Linked DNA regions of Daphnia pulex. The protein of the gene in region 1 purifies or fractionates together with the protein of each later gene. This does not show direct contact. Links are inferred from orthologs where the notes say so. Each region holds a gene or a part of one and is shown in the gene's direction. Other genes may lie near its edges. The genes, in order: TIMELESS-interacting protein-like and protein timeless homolog.

Region 1 (3,198 bases):
TCTTTGTCAATGGGCACATCAGAATTCAAATGAATTATTTACTTGTCATTTGCTTGTTATTTGAACTAACCCACGATACACATATGTAAATTTAATAAGCAAATTGTAGGGAATGGCAAAACCCAAACTTGCGTAACGAACAGGATTATTTAGTAAAATTCGTTCGACAGAACTGTGTGTGACCATTTATATTCAGCATATTTGTAGCAAGCTTGACTTGAAGTATGGCAACAGTGCCATACTAAAGAAAGAAAAAGGAGGGTGTGGGTGAAGCCTATGAGGTTCCAAACGCGCTTAAACTATTCAGATCTTTTTTTGCTCTAGCATAGCAAGCATGGCTAAGCATAGTAAGTCAAAGCGTTCTCGTAAGTCGAGTTCGAGTTCAAGTTCCGACTCTGACTCATCTTCGAGTTCCGCATCATCATCTAAATCTTTTTCAAGCACCTTTTCAGACATTATTAAATTAAAGTCGAAAAGGTTTGAAGTTAGCAAACGTAAGTCGTCGGTCCTCGCCAATTGGATTGTGAAGGGCATAGGTGAGAAGAACCTTAAGGCGGCTAGAGAGGCGTACAGGCCTGACGTCAAACGTGACAAAAAGGCTAGTATCAGTGCCTCTGAGCTGTTCACGAACCCAAAATTGGACGAGACTTTTTACGCGGCCCTTAAATCTACAAAGAATTCCAATGCATCGATGCCCAACATTGATCAGCTGGAAAAAGTGTACCGGAAACAGACGGACGTCGTCCTGGACATGGCCAAACCTCTTCTTTTTCTCCTTGAGAGGAAAAGTAAGAGAAGCGACAAGGACACCAAAGCATTAAAGACGCTGTCACTTCTCTGGGCCCATCTTTTCCGTGAGATTACCCACTCCAGACGTCTCAACATCCTCACCCAGACTCACCCAAACCACATCGGCTTACTTTCCCGTGCAGCAGAGAAGCTCCCTGTTGGCGGCGAGGATCTTTTTGGAACAGAGTTTTTTGTCACTACGTTTTATTGAAACCGCCGCAAATATAATATCGATAAGTGATCTGACGTTATGTTTCAATAAAGCAAAGCGGATAGGAAGGGGGGCCACAACAGTAAACGCATCCAGCAACGATAGGAAGATGGCTTTGAATTCGTTACAAATGGGTCTTTGACGAAAAGCTTCATATCTCGTCCATTTAATTAAAACTCAAACGCATTTTGAATTTTTAAATGAATAGCTGTCAAAATAGCTGTATTTTTAAGAAATCAAGCGTCTTTTTTTCAAGAATCAAGTTTCAAAAGAATTGAAATTTCAAAATGGTTTATTTCGTTTCCCGCGAGAATTTGGGTTTGCGTCATGCCACGATCGGATCGATTAATAATAAATCGATTTCATCAGAAACCGCACACAACCCCGCAGTTTACTACATCCATCCCGCATTCTCTCAACCCCAAACTTTATCCACTCCACTCCACTCCCGGCCCAAACGAATAACAATTTGAATTTAACATGAGTGATCAAGAAGTTGATGATATATTTGGAGAATACGAAAAAACCTCATACAGTGCCGAAGAAAATGATTCAAACTCAAAGAATGGGGAAGTAGATGCTGATAAAGGAAAACGTAAGTGTAATTAGTCTTATGAAAAATAAGTTCCAATCTAAAGCCTACATTATTTTCATTATAGGGGACAAAAAGTCAGAAACAACCAAAACACGTAAATTAGTAAGGAGTCAGCAGTTAAAGCTTGATCCAAACAGGTATTACACCTTTATTAATTCACTTTATTTTATTACTTTTTATATTACAATCAACATTTTTATTGGAATAACAGAGTATGTGGTCCAAGAGGAATCACAGCTGTCATACAGAATTTTAAAAATGTAAAATTGCAAGGGAAAGGTCATGAGAAATCAGATCTTGAAACGGTTCTCTCTCAAATGGAACACTGGGCTCATCGATTGTTTCCTAAACTACCATTTGATGATTGCATTGAAAGTGTTGCAAAACTTGGGAATAACAAATCTGTGCAGGTATTATTAATCTAATTTGTCTGTATTTGGTTGAACCTACATTAATTGATGTTATGACATGTATGATAGGTCTATATGAAACGATTTCGAATGGGAATGTTAGATACTGAACAAGAAATCGAGGAAACTTTGGAAAACACAGATGCACAATTTGACAACATTACTGAAAGAGGAACAGATGTGTTTAGTACTGTGATGTCGCGACCTTCGCAGTCTCTGACTCATATATCTGAAGATCAACAGAGTAGAATGGCTGAAAACAAAAGAAAAGCTGAAGAAAAACGGAAATCAAGATTGATGCTTAATACTTCCAATTTAAATGATACTTGTTCAAATGAGAGCTTTACCTCTAAAATATTGCCAGAGTTAAATGCTACAGTGGATACTGTGATATCTGAAACTACAGCTGAAACTAATGAAAACAACTCTGAAATTTTGGATATTGACATGTTTCTTGAAAATTTGCCTTAGCAGTTTGATCCCACTTTCTCTTCTCAATTGTACTTTGAAATAAAAATGTGAAGTTTGTGGAAAACTTTGTTGAATGTTCAGTTTCTTCATAAGTGAATTATTAAATAATTTACCAAGATCCCTAGAGCAACAAGATTCGTCTAATCTTATAAAAACGTAAGCAACGAAATTTCTCACGAAGAGGGGAATCGATTCTTGTATAGTTAGTACAATCACTCTAGGCCAAAATAGGGATTAACGTCAAAGTGAAATAATTGTTTTAAATGAGTAGTAATTCCGTAAAAACTAAATAAGAAATATTTCTTGATAGAATTTTCCATTTTATTGAAAATAGGGAAACAAAGAAAAAATGTAAATAAAACATGAGAGATACAGCCGAGCTTTGGACCCTATAGACCTTCTTTCCTTTTTTCAGTTCTTTGGTTATCGACCTACTCTTCCAAGTTCCAACTAGGCTGCTGGCTGCCGATCGCTATTTTCCCTTTCAAAATCGCTTCAAAAACACTTTTCCGTCTTTATCCCCCCAAAATTTATCGATACCCCGCCCTGTCCTTTTTTGCCGCTACGTTTTATTGAAACCGTCGCAAATAATATCGATATCTGATCTGACGTTCTGACGTTATGTTTCAATAAAAAAAACCGGATACAGGAAGGGAAACCACAACAGTAAACGCATCCAGCAGGCAGCAACGATGCGTTGATGGCTTTGAAATCGTTCCAAA
Region 2 (4,484 bases), on another chromosome or scaffold:
AGATGTTGCAGGGGAGGAGCCCAATGCCGAAAGCGAAGAAGAAGATGCTGACAACAAAGAAACGGGTACTTGTTCAACTTATTGTACTGTTTGGTATTCAATAAACTTTATTATTTTTACTACAGCGGAAGAAGAAGAGGAGATGTCGACAGTCAGAAGGAGTGAAAAAGAACTTCAATTTGAAGAGTTTATTCGCAGGTAAAATTTATTGTCCTTTTTTTTTCTCTTTTTGAATGTAAAAATAATCGGATTCATTTCTTTGTGCCATCTGGGAATAGATTTGCTCACAAAAACGTCGTCAAAAGTTACTGCCATCTCTTGCGAAGTTACTCCACCAACACAACTTTGACGAACCACTGCGTGATCAAAATTCTCCACCGGATCGCCTACGATTGCAAAATGCCTGCTATGCTTTTTCAGCTGTCCATTTTCAAGACATTCCATAAAATCATGGACGATCCGCGGGCCAAAACTGAAACTACTGTCAAAGTGATTATCGGTTTATTATCATTCTATTCCGATTTACTACATTTAATTTTTTCTTTCGTCCTGTTTCTTTACATAACTTTTTTTTTTCAACTTTTCTTCTTATTGTGCAATTAGGAATTGTACAAGTTTGCTATTTACATCATGAGAAAATTTGCGGAAACGGCACAAGTCAACCCGAAAATCTTTGTGGAACTGCTGTTCTGGAAGACGGCCCGCGAGGCGGCCGAGATCGAAGTTGGTTACGGCAATGTCCAAGAGTAAGAAGCGACACGAAATACTCATTATTCATTTGTCATCTTAATTATTCGTCGAATTTAAAATTAAAATAATCTGTCCTGTTCTTGATCAAAGCCCCAGCTCGCGTTTCGGCTGGAGCGAAGAGGAAGAAGATGAATTGCAGCGGCTCCATCAAGAATTCAGAGACGTCCAAGAAGGGGGTAAATAACGAGCGCTTTTTTCTTTTCCTTTTCTTGTCGTGCTTCCCGGTTATTTTGACATCGAATCCGTCTTGTGATGTCCGAATGGGAAATAACTCTTGAAAAACTTAAACAAAAATCTCTTCCGTTCCCGCCTTTTCAGCCGGCGGTTTTTTTTATTTTAAAAAAGAATGGAGAGAACAACCCCCCTCTCTCTTATAGTTTTCTTCTTTTATTTCACGTGGGAAATGTTTGTCGCCCCGGGACCAAAGTGTTCAAAGGGCGTGAACCAAAAACAGTCCGTGAACAACCCAAAAAGTGTGTCGTGAGAGATATATTTTTTGCTGTGAGATGTCAGAGAAAAGAGAGAGGGGGAGGGTCCTTCCGGAAGCATCCAAAATTAGCCAACTCTTGACAGACGTACATGGGAGAAAACAACACGACGAGAGATAAGAGCAAAAGAAGAATAGGCAGGAGCACGTAAGTGCAAGGGAAGAATATAAAATCTAACGAATGTGTTGAAAACGTGAAACGCCATGTCCGTGACACGCCGCCGACGACCAACCAGATGAAATAGTTGCGCTCGTACACATTCCGCATGGGAATTTTTTATTTTTACAAAACTACGTCGCTCCTCCCATTTTTCTTACCCCCTCTGCGATCCTTCAGTTTTTTTTTCAGAAAACATGTTCCGTCAGCAGTCTATCCCCCAACATCTCTTTTTTTCTTCTTGACGTACTTAATCGTGACAGGATTCAATTCTTCGATCCCGTTCCTCGCATTCCTCCGTGTTAACGCGTATACATTTTCCACGTTCCGTTTCACGAGAATGTCCGTTTCTCGGGATTCCAAATAGGGGCAGCAGTATATTAGCTGGGTAGCGCCGATGAAGGAATCGATTTTAAGGAAAGGATTACTTATGGCTGTGACGAAGGGATTACGACACTGGATGGAATTTTCACGTTGCAACGGACCTGCGGTGTAGGTCGGGTCGTGTGATGAAATTTTCAATTCACATTTGAATGGTTTCCGTTGCGCTCACCTTATTGCGTACGAGTCGCATGCGTTAGCCTTTTAGCCTTTATTGAGGTTGTAGTCTTGTCGTTTGGTTTCATTTACTTCAATTAAATTTAATAGAAGGAGACGTCGTGGATCGAATCATGGCCAATCTGATCAATCAGACCCGCAGTCGACGAGTCATCATCAAGAAAATGAAAGAAATGGGTCTCATTATGGACGCCAAAAGCTTGGCTAAGACGAAACGATCCTCCAAAATCCGCCCGTCCAAAGAATGGACCGAACACGAAGTGGAGGAGCTCAGACGCATTTTCCCTGAAGTCCGCGAATCATCAGGTCTATTCATTTTTGATAATTTCCCATCTTCTAGCCGAGAGCTTCAGGCGCTCAACTTTTTTGTTTTTTCCGATTGTGACAGATCCGCTTGGAATGATTATCGACCGGCTGCCCGTCCGTCGTGCCAAGAATCGCGTCCGCGAAAAAATCGTCGAGCTGGGCCTGGTGGAAGACGTCAAAGAGTTACGAAAGAAACGTCCAGGTAAATCAGCCGGAAGCAAGGAATCGAACCGCGATGAATCGGATTCCGAAGACGGCCGAGCCGAGCCCAGGGAAGGACCTGCTGCCGGACTGGGGGATTCCGAGTCGGACGAAAGTGAAGAGTCCGACGAAGGGGAAAGCGACAACGAGCCTGTCAGCAAGACGAAGGAGCTCAAGACTCGACATCGACCCAAACAGTACGGATTCGCCTTGAAGAAAAGCGATTATTTTAGTCCCGAAATGTTAGCAGCGCCACTCCGGCAACTTGTCAGCGACGGTGAGTTTTTGTTTTCTGTTTTTTTCCCCATTTGGCCGCCGCCATTTGGCGCCCATACTTTACAGGCGCAGACACTTAACTGGTTTCGATAACTCTACGCAGGCCGTAAAGAAGGCTTAGCCTGGTTGGTCGAGTGTCTGAGTGAAACCCTCGAGGATCGTGAAGATGGAGAAGGCGATGAGGAGGCCATCCCTATAGTCCCGCTCACGGACATTTCCAACGACGCCATGGAGGACCACACCTTTTTGAAATTTATCGCCAAATTGGGATTGGCTCCACCCGCCAGCGAACAAGTTCGTCTCTTTGATTTCTAAACATATAATCGTTTCAACGCCCCCAACAGTTTTGGAAGGAAACTCCGTCATCCGTTTTTCTTATTTTCCGTGTCATTTTCTAGGAGCAATTCTGGCGCATCCCTTCCACATTGACTTCGGCTGATCTACGTTCCAGGATCGATTTTCTAAAAGGGGCGACCGATTCCGTAAGCGACGGAGATGCCATGGACGATTTGGCCGGACCGGTCGAAACGATTGCCAACACCAACAGCAGCAGGAGCAGCAGCAGCGCGAAACGAGTGGCTGACGATCCAATCCCTTTGGGCTCTCAAAAGCGTCGCCGCATCATCAATTCGGAATCTTCAAACAGCGAAAGCGAAGAACCGCCACCGGAGAAACTGCAAGATGTTGAACAACAAAAGGTCGAGGCTGTTGTTGATGCCGAAACTCCGTCGACAGCTGCGTCAACAACAAGTCGCAAACGGTTCGCCATCGTCGATAGTAGCGAATCCGAATGAAATGATTTCGATTCTTTCGAAAAAATACGCACATGAGGAATTACAAAAGAAAAGTTGCAGCGGAAACAATCAATGGCTTTGTTTGTCTCCGCTTTTTTGCAACTTTTTTTATTTTTTCAATTCTCCACTTGGAACGTATTGAAATAAGTTTGTTTATCGTCTCTTTGCCAAATACACGGGCTTAATCAAGTCTTAGCGGCTGCGACAGCAGTTGGGTTCCTGTCAACTTTTGGACCCTACTGTTGACGTGGGAACGGCATCCGTTTCACTTAGTCCACCACCCCCACCCCCCACTTTTTAATTTCGAGGAGGAGAGATGTGTGTGTGGTTTGTGTTATTCTTCATCTCATTACATAGGGGCAGGGCTTGAAAATGTGTACACGTCACGCCTGCGCCTCGTTAACATCTTTGCCCTGTATATATAGGAGCCACCGGACTTTTGCGGTCAATCAAAAAACGTTGCTGAAACTTTTGAATTTCAAATCTTCTTCGCTGTAAAATTTTTTAAAAAGAAATATTTTTTTTCTGCTCGTTGATAGATTGCCTTTGGGAATTTTTCTCAGAATAATCCTGTATAAGAAAAACAGAGCATTGACAAATAGTGTGGGAATAGAATTCTTCAGCAACTTGGCAGCGCTAACATAATTTTTTGACTATTTTTTTTTTGAAGACCATCTCTTGTCAGGAAATTCATTGGCCGGCGGAAGGGCTTCCGGATTAGGTACTACTCTCCAACAGCTATTCATTCGCTATTCACATTTTCTTTCTGATCGTTTACAAGTCAACGTCATCATATCACTCTTCTTCTTTTTTGTTCATTATTATTATTATTGTACATGTGACTTTTTTTTTACTCCTCCCCTTTTTTCCAGTGGTTTTAGGTTGGTGACGACTTGCTTTCTGAATTAAATACTTCCGCCCAGGAGAGAGAGAGGGGGATTTACTCTCTGCAAGC

Evidence for each region.
Region 2: the proteins of TIMELESS-interacting protein-like (region 1) and protein timeless homolog purify together in Homo sapiens (affinity purification with western blotting; 6 studies listed by BioGRID and IntAct, counting the BioPlex papers as one, with this or other methods). This does not show direct contact. The link is inferred for Daphnia pulex from reciprocal best matches to the Homo sapiens genes TIPIN and TIMELESS.

Annotation. Positions count from the first base shown.
Region 1 is NC_060019.1:12,256,441-12,259,638, reverse strand, and holds TIMELESS-interacting protein-like, read left to right. Parts: upstream 1-1,395; 5' UTR 1,396-1,480; coding exon 1,481-1,595; intron 1,596-1,659; coding exon 1,660-1,732; intron 1,733-1,806; coding exon 1,807-2,005; intron 2,006-2,074; coding exon 2,075-2,476; 3' UTR 2,477-2,540; downstream 2,541-3,198.
Region 2 is NC_060024.1:12,856,708-12,861,191, forward strand, and holds the end of protein timeless homolog, read left to right. Parts: intron 1-2; coding exon 3-65; intron 66-125; coding exon 126-198; intron 199-278; coding exon 279-489; intron 490-603; coding exon 604-746; intron 747-840; coding exon 841-926; intron 927-2,042; coding exon 2,043-2,258; intron 2,259-2,340; coding exon 2,341-2,736; intron 2,737-2,838; coding exon 2,839-3,029; intron 3,030-3,133; coding exon 3,134-3,529; 3' UTR 3,530-3,719; downstream 3,720-4,484. UniProt on the Homo sapiens protein: Plays an important role in the control of DNA replication, maintenance of replication fork stability, maintenance of genome stability throughout normal DNA replication, DNA repair and in the regulation of the circadian clock.